Callithrix jacchus: one gene and its partners. The protein of the gene in region 2 interacts with the protein of the main gene of each other region in a pairwise test. Links are inferred from orthologs where the notes say so. Each region holds a gene or a part of one and is shown on either strand. Other genes may lie near its edges.

Region 1 (3,648 bases), on a different chromosome or scaffold from region 2:
TCCAGCACACGCTGACCCAGGGACACACCCTACTGCAGCGACGCAAACAGGGCGTTGTTCCCGTTAAAGGGGAACGCCGGGAGCCTCCCACTGCCCCCTTGCTTCGCGCGCGCGCGGCCCCGCAGCGCAGCTTTGGCGACGCCAGCAGCGGAGCCAGCGCACCCGAGTTTGTGCTTGAAGCCATCCTTAGGATCCGGACAGCTGTTCCTTTGGGCTGTAAGTGCTTTGGTGGGGAGAGTGGAGCAGATGGGGAAGAAATGTGGACATCTTTCAGAGAGGGTGCCAGAAAGCGCAGAGCAGGCGCTGGTTTTTGCCGGCTCCTTGGGGCTTCTGTCGGGGCCACAGGGTCTCCGGTCTGCCCTGTTTCCTTCCAATGGGACTTGGAGTAATACAACGAGGAGAGCCTTTATGGTCTGTAAGCCCTTACAGGGCAAGGGTGATGGTGCTGGTGTCTGGATAGAGCATAAGGGCGGCCCAGTTTTCGCCTTGCTGAAGAGGCGTCGACTCTGGGACGCACTGGCAAAACAGTCCCTGGGGCGGACATCCCGAGAGTGCTGAACTCCTGTGGTTCCCCAGTTCCCAGCCTCATGCCATTGGTTTAATTCAAACCCTCTGGGAGTCACCAAAAATCCTTGTTTATTTCTTCCAGTGCATTCCAGAGTTTCTTTGAATGTGATGCTTGTGGAAAGGAACGGAGGGGCCTGGGATTGGGTACTTTGCAAACGGAGTTATTGAAACCTTGTCTCCCTGGTCCTAGACTCCGCCTGAAATGGTCCCCAGAGTCTCAGCCAGATCTTTCACAGCCATGCGTGTCTTCTAACAGGTCACCCCAGCCTTCAGTTCCCCAAAGTCTAAAATGAGGGGTGGGCCAGGACCGCATTACTTCGGATAGGTGTCCTGCCGGCTCTGACCGGCTGGAATTCTCGGACTCAGCCTTTTAGTCTCTGTCTTTCTCTCCCGCCCGCTGGACATCTGCTCCCATCGGTCCTGGCTCCCGGGCTGCTGTCCCACGGCGCCCAGACCGGAGCTCAGGCTTGACGGGGTCGGTGTCCTGGCTTTGAGTGTCTGGGGTGCAGACTGGACCCCCAGGCGAGCGCGTGGGTCTAGAGCAGGAGGAGAATACCCCCTGCCCTCAGGGGCCGCGTGGGGAAGCCCGTGGTGGAGGGGAAGCGCAGGGTCCGGACAACCCTCCCAGGCCATTCTTTCCTTTTCACACTCCCCTGGCACTGCACCGCCTCTCCGGAGCCGCCGGAGTCTGCGCGAGGCTGAGCTGGGCCAGACGGTTCCTCTACGCTGGCAGAATTGGGTGGAAACTTGGAGACTAACGGAATGCGGAGCGCACTGCGGTCTGGGAAACCAGCCTCCTCGCCGCTGTCTCCCCCACCGCATCCCGCGGGTGTCTCCAGGTCTCAGACGGAAATCTGGGCGCCTACCCGCCTCACTCCTACCTCCACCCCATGGGGGAATTCACCCTCTGAACCGGGGTCTCGGAGAACGTGACCTCTCCCATTCCCGGGAGGTCCCCGGGAGGCGCTCGGGGTAGGTGGAAGCGTGCGGTGGCCTCCGCTCATATTTTCTGGAATCCCCTCTGTTCCCGGGATGATTTTATACGTGCACGCCGCCTGATTTGTTCCAAAAGCAGATGTACCCTTGCAGGCGGGCCCGGCTAGGCGCTGGGCGCTGGTCCTGCAGGCGGCTGCTGCCCCCTCTCGGCAGCGGGCGGCGCGAGGGCTCCAGACCTGCGCGGGCGGGCTGCAGGCGCGGGGCCAGGCCTGGCCTTCCGCTAGTGCGCGGGACCCTCCCTCTGCGCGCGCCTCCCTCGCTCGGCCCAGTGCGTTCGGCCTCACGCCCAGCGTTCTCCCCGCAGGCAGAAACTCCGCTGAGCAGAACTTGCCGCCAGAATGCTCCTCCTGTTGCTGGGTATCATCGTCCTCCACGTCGCGGTGCTGGTGCTGCTGTTCGTCTCCACGATCGTCAGCGTGAGTGCCTGGGCGGGAGGCTCCCTGCGCGGCCCGCCCTTCTCTATCTGGGTTCCCAGCCCTAGCTCCCTCTGGTTCAGGACTGTGTTATTTGCAGACAGTTGGAAGTCTCAGACGTCCCGGGGAAGTTTCTGGCAATCTGCCCGCTTCCAGTTGCTTTGAGAAAAGGAGAGCAGATTCAGCGATAGGAAGGAAGCGAGAGCTGGGCTGCGTTAGCTGCGCAGGCATCTAAGCCAGAATAACCTCAGAGCAGATCTAGGCTAGTCCCCGATCTTCATTTGGTAAGATGGTTTAGCATTTTTTTTTTGGTCGATGCAGCCTCGTTGAAGAATATTTATGAAAATGTGTGTGTGTGTGTGTGTGTGTGTGTGTGTGTTTCTCCAAACCGTAACTCAGATGGGTGACCTAATTTATAAAACACCCTTTTAGGACTTAAAATTGGAAGGTTAAAATTTTTGGAAGAGAGTTCACAGGTCCCATGTCAGCTTTATGGCATAAGCAGAACCCTTGTTAGTAAGGCTTCCGCTGAGAGGAACAGGCCATCAGAGTAATTTCTGTTACAAAACCATCCAGCCCATTAGATCTTAAAGTTATTTTCTTGGCGATGAAGATGATCAGACATTCAGGCAGTTTTACCACGGTGGCTTTCACTTCTTAATTTAAGGCACGTTTGTAAGCATGATTTTCTAGTCTCCGTGAGAAATAATTATATTGGGGATGTGTGACATTTGTAAGCATCTTCACAGTATCTTCATTGTGCCTGGCGATAATAATGGCAGACTGATAGGAGTTATAAACAAAGAAATAGGGCCAGAGAGGTGGGCTTGGGGAATGATCCCCAGAGATACTGGGACAGAAATGTCTCAGGAGATTGAGTGTATGGCTCCTTCTACTATAGTAAAAATCTCTACACATAATTGTTTCCGTGTGCATGTGAAACTTTTCCATTTACAAAGTGCTTTTAAGTCACCAAACATTGGCTCTTACCATGCAGTGGTCGGGGGTAGCCAGGTGGATGAGGGTGCTTTTCACCATCCCTGGGGCTTTTTCCTTCCCCCTCTCCTTCACTCCTCACTCCCTTCCTGACTCAGGATATCTGTCTGGTTCTCTCTAGCAATGGATCGTGGGCAATGGGCACTCAACTGATCTCTGGCAGAACTGTAGCACCTCTTCTTCAGGAAACGTCCACCACTGTTTCTCATCATCAGCAAACGGTGAGGCTGGTTTTGTGCTCCATGAGCTTGTCCTTAGATGCCTGTAACGCGTTTCTTGCTCCAGACCTGGAAACGCTTATTGGGAGACACAAGCCAGAACATTGTTGCTGGGGTGGGGTGGGATGTGACAGGGAGCCATGAGTCCAGGGCAAAAGGGGAGAGGTGGTGATCTCGCTGGGGAAGCTGAGATCCTGGGCAGCAATGTGATTCTCTCTACCTAGAAACATGCCCTTAGTGGGCTCCTGATCACTTGGGATAATGCCTTTTGTGATTAAAAAAATGTGAACCTGGGAGCTGTAGAGGTGGTATGATAGCTAAACCTCAGGCAAACCCCCTTGGGACATCTGATCAAACGTGTATCTCTGGTTTGGGGGTTGTCTCTATTCAGAAATGTCCTGCTGCTTTCTGCTGCAGTGACAGTGGGGCTGTCTCACCGTACCATCAGTTACATTAGA
Region 2 (3,073 bases):
ATGACATAGAAGCTACAGATTGGGTTTTCTGGGCACCTTCTTTAACTAGATAAACCCTCACTTTTATACTTTCATCTGATTCGGTTTGGTGGAATAACAGTGGTCCTTACCAGGTGGTATAGAAATGTCCCTCTCTGCTACTTCCTCTCTGCTACTCCCTACTAAAAACAACTTAAACTCTGGGATTAACGAAAGACAAAAGCAATAGAGAACTCTGAAAGTTGGAAAGAGAAAGATGAAATTGTCTGGGACCCTAGCATTGGGGATCAACCAAGTGTCCAAGGGAGCATGTTAAGTTCTCCACCCAGAAGAAAGTGACATAGGTCTGCTGTTTCCCAGCACTTGACCTGGCAAAAGGAGGAGGCTCAGCAAAGCTCACTTCCACTGTGTATTGAGGAAGAGTCCCCTCCACAACGCCAGGTAAGGCAAGGATGATCTACCAGGAGATCTGCTACCAATTAGGAGCCAGAGGAAGTGCTTCCTTCTGATACCAATAGACACCAGGATGAGTGTGGGTGAGGAGGATCAGCAAAGGGACCCCATGACTATCAGTGCACCATCCAGGTTCCTCTTTGTCTTTGAGGACATGAGGCTCACTTCCCCATCCAGAGACACGGGACTGAATGGATTGTTAGTGTTCTTTGTATATATATAGCAGTGAACAGTAACAAACGACTGGTAACTGCAATAATATGAAGGAATTGCACAAATATCAGACAGGAGTGGAAAAGACAGACATGAAAATTCACACTGTATTATTCCCTTTATATAAATTCAAGAACAGGCAAACATTATTTATAACGTTATAAATCAAGACAGTGTTTCAGAGAGGAGCCAGGATAAGTGATGAGGGCACGCACAGGGTGAACTGCTGGAGCTGGAACTTCTGTTTTCTGATCTGACTTGTATCACGTGAGTTCATTCACTTTGTGATCAACCTGCATGACCAGATCATATCTTGCTTGATAAAATTAGATAGCAAAATTTATTGTGGGTTCAAAGCATTTACAGAAGCATGGTTTTCCATGAAAAGCAAAAACTGAAAATTTTCAAAAGTACATTAGCAGTATACAAATTTTAAAACATCATTAAGTCAAACTATTGAATATTACACAGACTTTAAAATATATAAGCTAAATATATATATATGATTTCTACAAATATGTTACAAATATGCTATTGACTGAAATAAGCTTTTCGTAAAGTGTTTAAAACATTTACATCTTACCATTTCTTCTTCATTATCTATAGAAAGTAGACTGGAGTTTTTCGAAGCACAGGCCAGCAAACTCTCTTCCCAAGTTCTTCTTTCCTTACCAATGTAATAACAACTGTTGGAATACACAATCCACTCCTCTGGACAATGGTCACAACGATATGCTAAATAAAGAGCAGGAATTACTATCCAGAACAATGTGAATTTTTAAAATAAAAATTATTTAACATACTTGCAAAGGCATAAAGCTACATGTCTGCAACATATCTATCCATCCTCACAGGCTGGTAAATACATACTTTTAAAATACCCAGTCACTTATACACACATGCACAATAAAGGGTCAGCCTCTCATGTCCTAATTGTGTTCCCATATAAAGCAAACCAGCAAACAAAAATCCACTCTATACGTGTCTTGAAAATCAATGAACAAACCAAGCTGCTTTAAAAAAAATAGTAAATAACTTGTATCTTATCATATTACAGCAATAAGAATTTGAACGCAACAGACAAAAGAAGGTATAGTGATTTTACTTATAGTTAATGACAAGGTAATACCCTCATCTTTATTTATGAACATTTATTGCCAATTTTTATAACTTATTTATCACCCCAAATTTTATTTTATTTTATTTTATTTATTTTTGAGACGGAGTTTCGCTCTTGTTACCCAGGCTGGAGTGCAATGGCGCGATCTCGGCTCACCACAACCTCCGCCTCCTGGGTTCAGGCAATTCTCCTGCCTCAGCCTCCTGAGTAGCTGGGATTACAGGCACGCGCCACCATGCCTAGCTAATTTTTTGTATTTTTAGTAGAGACGGGGTTTCACCAAGTTGACCAGGATGGTCTTGATCTCTTGACCTCGTGATCCACCAGCCTCGGCCTCCCAAAGTGCTGGGATTACAGGCATGAGCCACTGCGCTTAGCCCCCAAATTCTATTTTTGCACAGCCTAAGATCGAGAAAACTGTACAATATTAGAACTTTAAAAATTATTATGTACCTTTCTGAGTTCTTGTATTCAGGGAAGAATTGTTGTGCTTCTGTGTTAATGTAGCTAGAAAAAAATAAAGTAATCTGTAAAAATTAGCATCTAAATCAATCAGAAAAATTTTAGTTTTTGTTTGAAATTCGTTATATTATTTAGAGTTAGAATAATATAGAATAAAATTGATTTTAGGAAAAATTTTGATAAAGTAATTATGGTTTTTTTACAAAAGTATTTCAAAGACCTAAAGAACCAAATTTCACCATCTCGTATAGTTCTTATAGTTTGTGATTTAACTACTTTCAAAAATTAATTTCTTTTCTCAGAAAGATTTTTCAGACCCCTTCATTTTTGAGTTATGAAATAAAAATATATACACACAATTGAATCAGAAGGAAATGCTTTCAACAATCATTCTTTCATTTATTCTTTGACAAATTCAGAATAACCATTCCACATTTAGTCCAAATATATACATTACAATGAGAATACTATTCCCTGAAAATATGAAATGTTTAGGGGCATATTCAATTATTAATGAGAGAATTTTCCTTGTAATCTTCTAAAATAGACTTACAGGGAATAACAACTATCGTTATCACAGAGGCCATTAAGAGAAGACAAATGATTCCCAGGATCCCAATAATGACCTTCTCTGGAGCTGATGGTAAATCTGCAGGGACAGAAATGAGAAGCAGGCAAAAGGAGAGGTGGATACAGTTGTTTAGAAGATTCCCAGACAAGAGAACCTGAATGCACAGGGATCATACAGAGAAGCGTGGGCCCCAAACCCTCATGTCATATTGTAATCTTTCTTTCAGAATAATATAATATTGCATTTCAGGAAAAATAATGCTCCATGAATTATTG
Region 3 (4,289 bases), on a different chromosome or scaffold from region 2:
TCCCACCAGCAGCACACAAGGGTTCCAGTTTCTCCACATCCTGGCCGATACTTGATGTTTTCCATTTTTTGGATAGTAGCTATCCTAATGGGTGTGAAGTGATATCTCATTGTGATTTTTAAAATTTATTTACTTATTTACTTTTTTGAGACTGAGTTCTTACTCCATTGCCTAGGCTGGAGTGCAGTGGCGTGATCTCAGCTCACTGCAACCTTTGCCTCCCAGGTTCAAGCAATGCCTGTGCCTCAGCCTGCTGAGTAGCTGGGTCTATAGGCATGAGCCACCAAGCCTGGCTAATTTTTTTTTTTTTTTAATTTTAAGTAGAGACAGGGTTTCACCATGTTGGTCAAGCTGGTCTCAAACTCCTGACCTCAGGTGATCCACCCACCTCGGGCTCCCAAAGTGCTGGGATTATAGGTGTAGCCACCTCGCTCAGTCTCATTGTGATTTTAGTTTTGTTTTCCTAAAGCCTAATGATGTTAAGCATCTTTTTATGTGCATATTGGCCATTTGGATATCTTCTTTGTGGAAACCTCTGTTCAAGTTCGTTGTCCATTTTCTAACTTGGTTGTCTTTTAGTTGTTGAGTTGTAATATTCCATAATTAAAAAAAATACTCTCCTGGGGTGGTCAGTGCCTTCTTAGATCCTCTAATTCTCTACTCCTTCCACACATCAAATATATACAGCTTCATATTTACAGTCCATGCAGAGGAGAACTGAGAGGCTTGGAGTCAGCTTTCTCCTCTTCTCTCCCAGGCATCTGCGAGCCCACCCCTAACCTAGAGCGTGAGGAAGACACCAGGAGATGACTACGCATTGAGGGTCTCCTGGGAAGTGAGGAAGGGAGGTAGAGAACAGGGGTGAGGTGGATAAGTGACTTTCTAAGACAGCTGAGAGAAGCTTTCTGGGCGAGGAAGAAATTCTTTCCTCTTGAAGCCAAAAAGCCATGCTGGAGGAGCAAGCTGCCAGTTGTGGATGGCTTCAAGGTTTCTCACAGCCCTGTAATCTCTGTAGCATTGGTGGGTTGGGTTGGAGCCTTTGGCCCCCTTTCCTGCAGATGAGGTCTAACTGGACTGTTTCTACTTGCAAGGGCACTCACTCTTTCTTTTTTTTCTTTCTTTTTTTTTTTTTTTGAGACGGCGTTTCGCTCTTGTTACCCAGGCTGGAGTGCAATGGCGCAATCTCGGCTCACCGCAACCTCTTCCTCCTGGGTTCAGGCAATTCTCTCGCCTCAGCCTCCCGAGTAGCTGGGATTACAGGCACGCGCCAGCATGCCCAGCTAATTTTTGTATTTTTAGTAGAGACGGGGTTTCACCATGTTGACCAGGATGGTCTAGATCTCTTGACCTCGTGATCCACCCGCCTCGGCCTCCCAAAGGGCTGAGATTTCAGGCTTGAGCCACCGCGCCCGACCTCACTCTTTCTTATATGCTGAACTTCTAAAAGAAGGCCAGAGGGGGTCGGCTCTCTGTAAATGGTGGAGCTAGGTTCATTGGCATCCAGGGATTTTTCTAAATTTAACTGCTTGGATTCTGCCAATCCCTAGGATTTCAAATCACTAGTTCCATCCAGGTTTGGGTTCAACTCGACTTTCACCCCAAGTTCAATGACAACCCTGCTCACAGAGCTGTGGCCCTCTTAACCCCTGCTCCCAAGCCCTCCTTAGATGAACTGACCTGACCTACCCTTTGGTACTCACGCCCTCCCCTCCAATCAGGCAATAACAACCTGGGGTCCAATTTTTAAAGTCAGGCTCCGACATTTTCTTTCCTACCCAACTATCCACACCGATGCTTCTGAGGCAGGGGTGCCGGAAAACGTGTCGCTGAGGCGATGATGTACCAAATCCACATAATATACAAAGCACACCCCTCCCAGTTGAGGGCGAGCGGCCCCCAGAAAGTTGAGGCTGAGGGAGGTCACTTCAGCCTCGCGACGCCGTGAGTGCTGATCAGGAGCCCTCAGTAGGAAGCGCTTTTCCGCAGTCTCAGGCGGAGACCCTGTGCGCAAGGCGGGACCAACAGCAGGTGCAGAGGCCTCGGAGCTGCCCAAGGTCAGCCGAGGCGCGCGGATCGCTCTCGCCCGCCCATCTCGTCCACTCCCACCCCACACAAGAGGCAGAAGGACTACGGCCGAGCAAACGACGGCCTCAGTTTCCTCATTTCCAGATCGAATTGGTCGCAAATACGTGAAACTTTAAAAGGCCAGAAGAAAATAAACCGGATTCAGCTCCCTCTCGTCTCCGAATCTCGGTTGGTAATACTAACATTTCTTTTGATGATTTTTTTTTAAATGAAACCTCCTTCCTTGAAAAAGCCGGGCACTTCTACCCAACCGCCCGAAGGGCGGCTTGAGCTTCGGTGGCGCTGCGCTTGCCAAGTGGGCCACACGCGCAGCTTTGGAACCGGCGCACCAAGAACTGTCCCCACCTGGCCCTCTGCCAACATCTGACCCAGGTTGCGAACCCGGTTTTTCCTCCATAGTCCCGTAGACTGTTCCACTCATTCCGTTGGTCTAGAAGGGGGCAAACGACCAGAGATGGGAGGGGACTTTACTGGCTTAGTCCCCGCCCTGCCCTTGCTGCCCCGCGGCTCCCAGGACCTCCACTGCTCCCAGGACCTGCGCAGCTCTCGGATCCAGCCCGACAGCTGTGCGGGGTGCCCGCGAGAACGCAGGGCTCAGCCCGTCCCCTCCTTTCCCCGACCGCAAGTCACTCACAAACTCAAAGATGAAGAGCAAGTCAGGGAAGGTGGTGAAGACCGAAAAGCCACTGGGCAGGGTGCTACCCCCCGACGCCGCTGCGGGGGCCATGCCGGTGTGCTGGCTTCGGCCTCGGGACTGGACGCGCGCCGCTCAGGCTCCGCGCAGATCTCTTGCTTGCTCCGCGGAGCCTCGTGGCCTGGGCGCCCCCACGCGCGGGTTAAGAGCAGGGGAGCCCGAGGCAGAAGTGGGAGGAGCCCTGGCCGCCGCCCAGCCCCGCCCCTCCGTCCCGGGGGACCCGGCCCGAGCACCGCGGGCACCGCCCTGAACCACTTCGAGGGCGGGCTGCGGGCTGCAGAACTGAGGACGGTGGTCCTGACTCTTGCGTTCCAGCCCTGGGTACCACCTCTTGCGGGAAGCAGGGCAAAAGCACTTCGGTCAAGCGCTCCTCACGCTTTTCTAGCTTGGTAGGTGAGCAGCGTCTCATAAGAATGATAACTATCAGTAACCAGGACCCCAAATCTTCCCACCGAGGCACCCCTCCAGTCACCAGTGCTTTAACTTTGAAGTTGGGTCTCCTTCATCTTTCCGCTGGATGCATTAATATCCGTTACCCACACCTCCAGGAGGTTTCCTGGCCGAATGGGACCACCGCCTCAGGCTGGGGTTCTACCGTGGGGGCTGGGACCGGCCTCGGCCGCCTGCTCCTTCCGCGTCCACCTAGCCAGCGCAGAGACCATGCACTGCCTCTCTACTTGGTGCTGCGCGTCTGCCTGAGGGTAGCAGGTTGCTCCCAGCCGCGCCGGCCCCAGGAGAAGGCTGTGGGTGGTATTGCTGGGGCAGGTCTGCCTTGAATCCATGGGACAGGAAAAGACGTTACCAGAGGAGATGCATCGCTTTCTCCTGTTCTGGGCAGCACAGCCCTTCGGAGGGTGGGACCGCTGCTACCCCCAGCCCCGTGTTCTTTGCCTGACTGTTGACTGCCGGCATTTCCTGTTTTGTTTTCCTGTTTCACTATTCATTAGTTTTTGTATTTTGCCTTTAAGCAAGTATTACCATACAGCAGTTGCCCATTTATTTTAATTTACTAATAATAGTATGATTGCTGTGTTTTCTCTTAGTATAGTATGATTGCTGAAGCCTAAAATCTGCTCCAGCCCGGATCCTCTCCTGCCAAGAGGGAATTGGCCCCGCAGCCTCCAGCTCAGACTCCCAACTCTCCTTGCTTTCCCCTGGCAACTGCTGCAGGCAGAGCAAGGGGCTCCCTTCTATCCACTGGGGCCCGCACTCTCCCCGATGCACAATTCTTCCTCCTTCTCAGTCCCTAGGGAGAGAAGTACATTCCTGGACCCATTTCCCAAAGCAAAAGTAGCATGCCCATGAGCTGGCCATTCTAACTGCTCCTGTAAAGGGGTCAGGCATTTGAAATGAGGAAAGCCCACTGCTCCTCTGTGAGCTGCCAGCCTGGATGGCCACAACCAAGGTGCCATTGTGTCAGGTCCCCAGGGCAGCATCCTTCGAGACACAATGGGCTGTGGGACTGTCAGGAGCCCAGGTCCTCACCCGCCTTGGACATCTCATAGCTCAT

Evidence for each region.
Region 1: the proteins of KLRC1 (region 2) and PMP22 interact in binary tests that used the Homo sapiens proteins (3 or more experiments, as listed by UniProt). The two-hybrid records come from large-scale screens. The link is inferred for Callithrix jacchus from reciprocal best matches to the Homo sapiens genes KLRC1 and PMP22.
Region 3: the proteins of KLRC1 (region 2) and MAL interact in binary tests that used the Homo sapiens proteins (3 or more experiments, as listed by UniProt). The two-hybrid records come from large-scale screens. The link is inferred for Callithrix jacchus from reciprocal best matches to the Homo sapiens genes KLRC1 and MAL.

What each region holds. Positions count from the first base shown.
Region 1 is NC_133506.1:81,772,975-81,776,622, reverse strand, and holds part of PMP22 (peripheral myelin protein 22), read left to right. Parts: intron 1-92; exon of another isoform or gene 93-216; intron 217-1,867; 5' UTR 1,868-1,901; coding exon 1,902-1,979; intron 1,980-3,093; coding exon 3,094-3,193; intron 3,194-3,648. UniProt on the Homo sapiens protein: Might be involved in growth regulation, and in myelinization in the peripheral nervous system.
Region 2 is NC_133510.1:12,590,870-12,593,942, reverse strand, and holds part of KLRC1 (NKG2-A/NKG2-B type II integral membrane protein), read right to left. Parts: intron 2,877-3,073; coding exon 2,781-2,876; intron 2,273-2,780; coding exon 2,219-2,272; intron 1,381-2,218; coding exon 1,229-1,380; intron 1-1,228. UniProt on the Homo sapiens protein: Immune inhibitory receptor involved in self-nonself discrimination.
Region 3 is NC_133515.1:5,151,581-5,155,869, reverse strand, and holds the start of MAL (myelin and lymphocyte protein), read right to left. Parts: upstream 2,898-4,289; 5' UTR 2,813-2,897; coding exon 2,720-2,812; intron 1-2,719. UniProt on the Homo sapiens protein: May be involved in vesicular trafficking from the Golgi apparatus to the cell membrane. Plays a role in the maintenance of the myelin sheath, and in axon-glia and glia-glia interactions.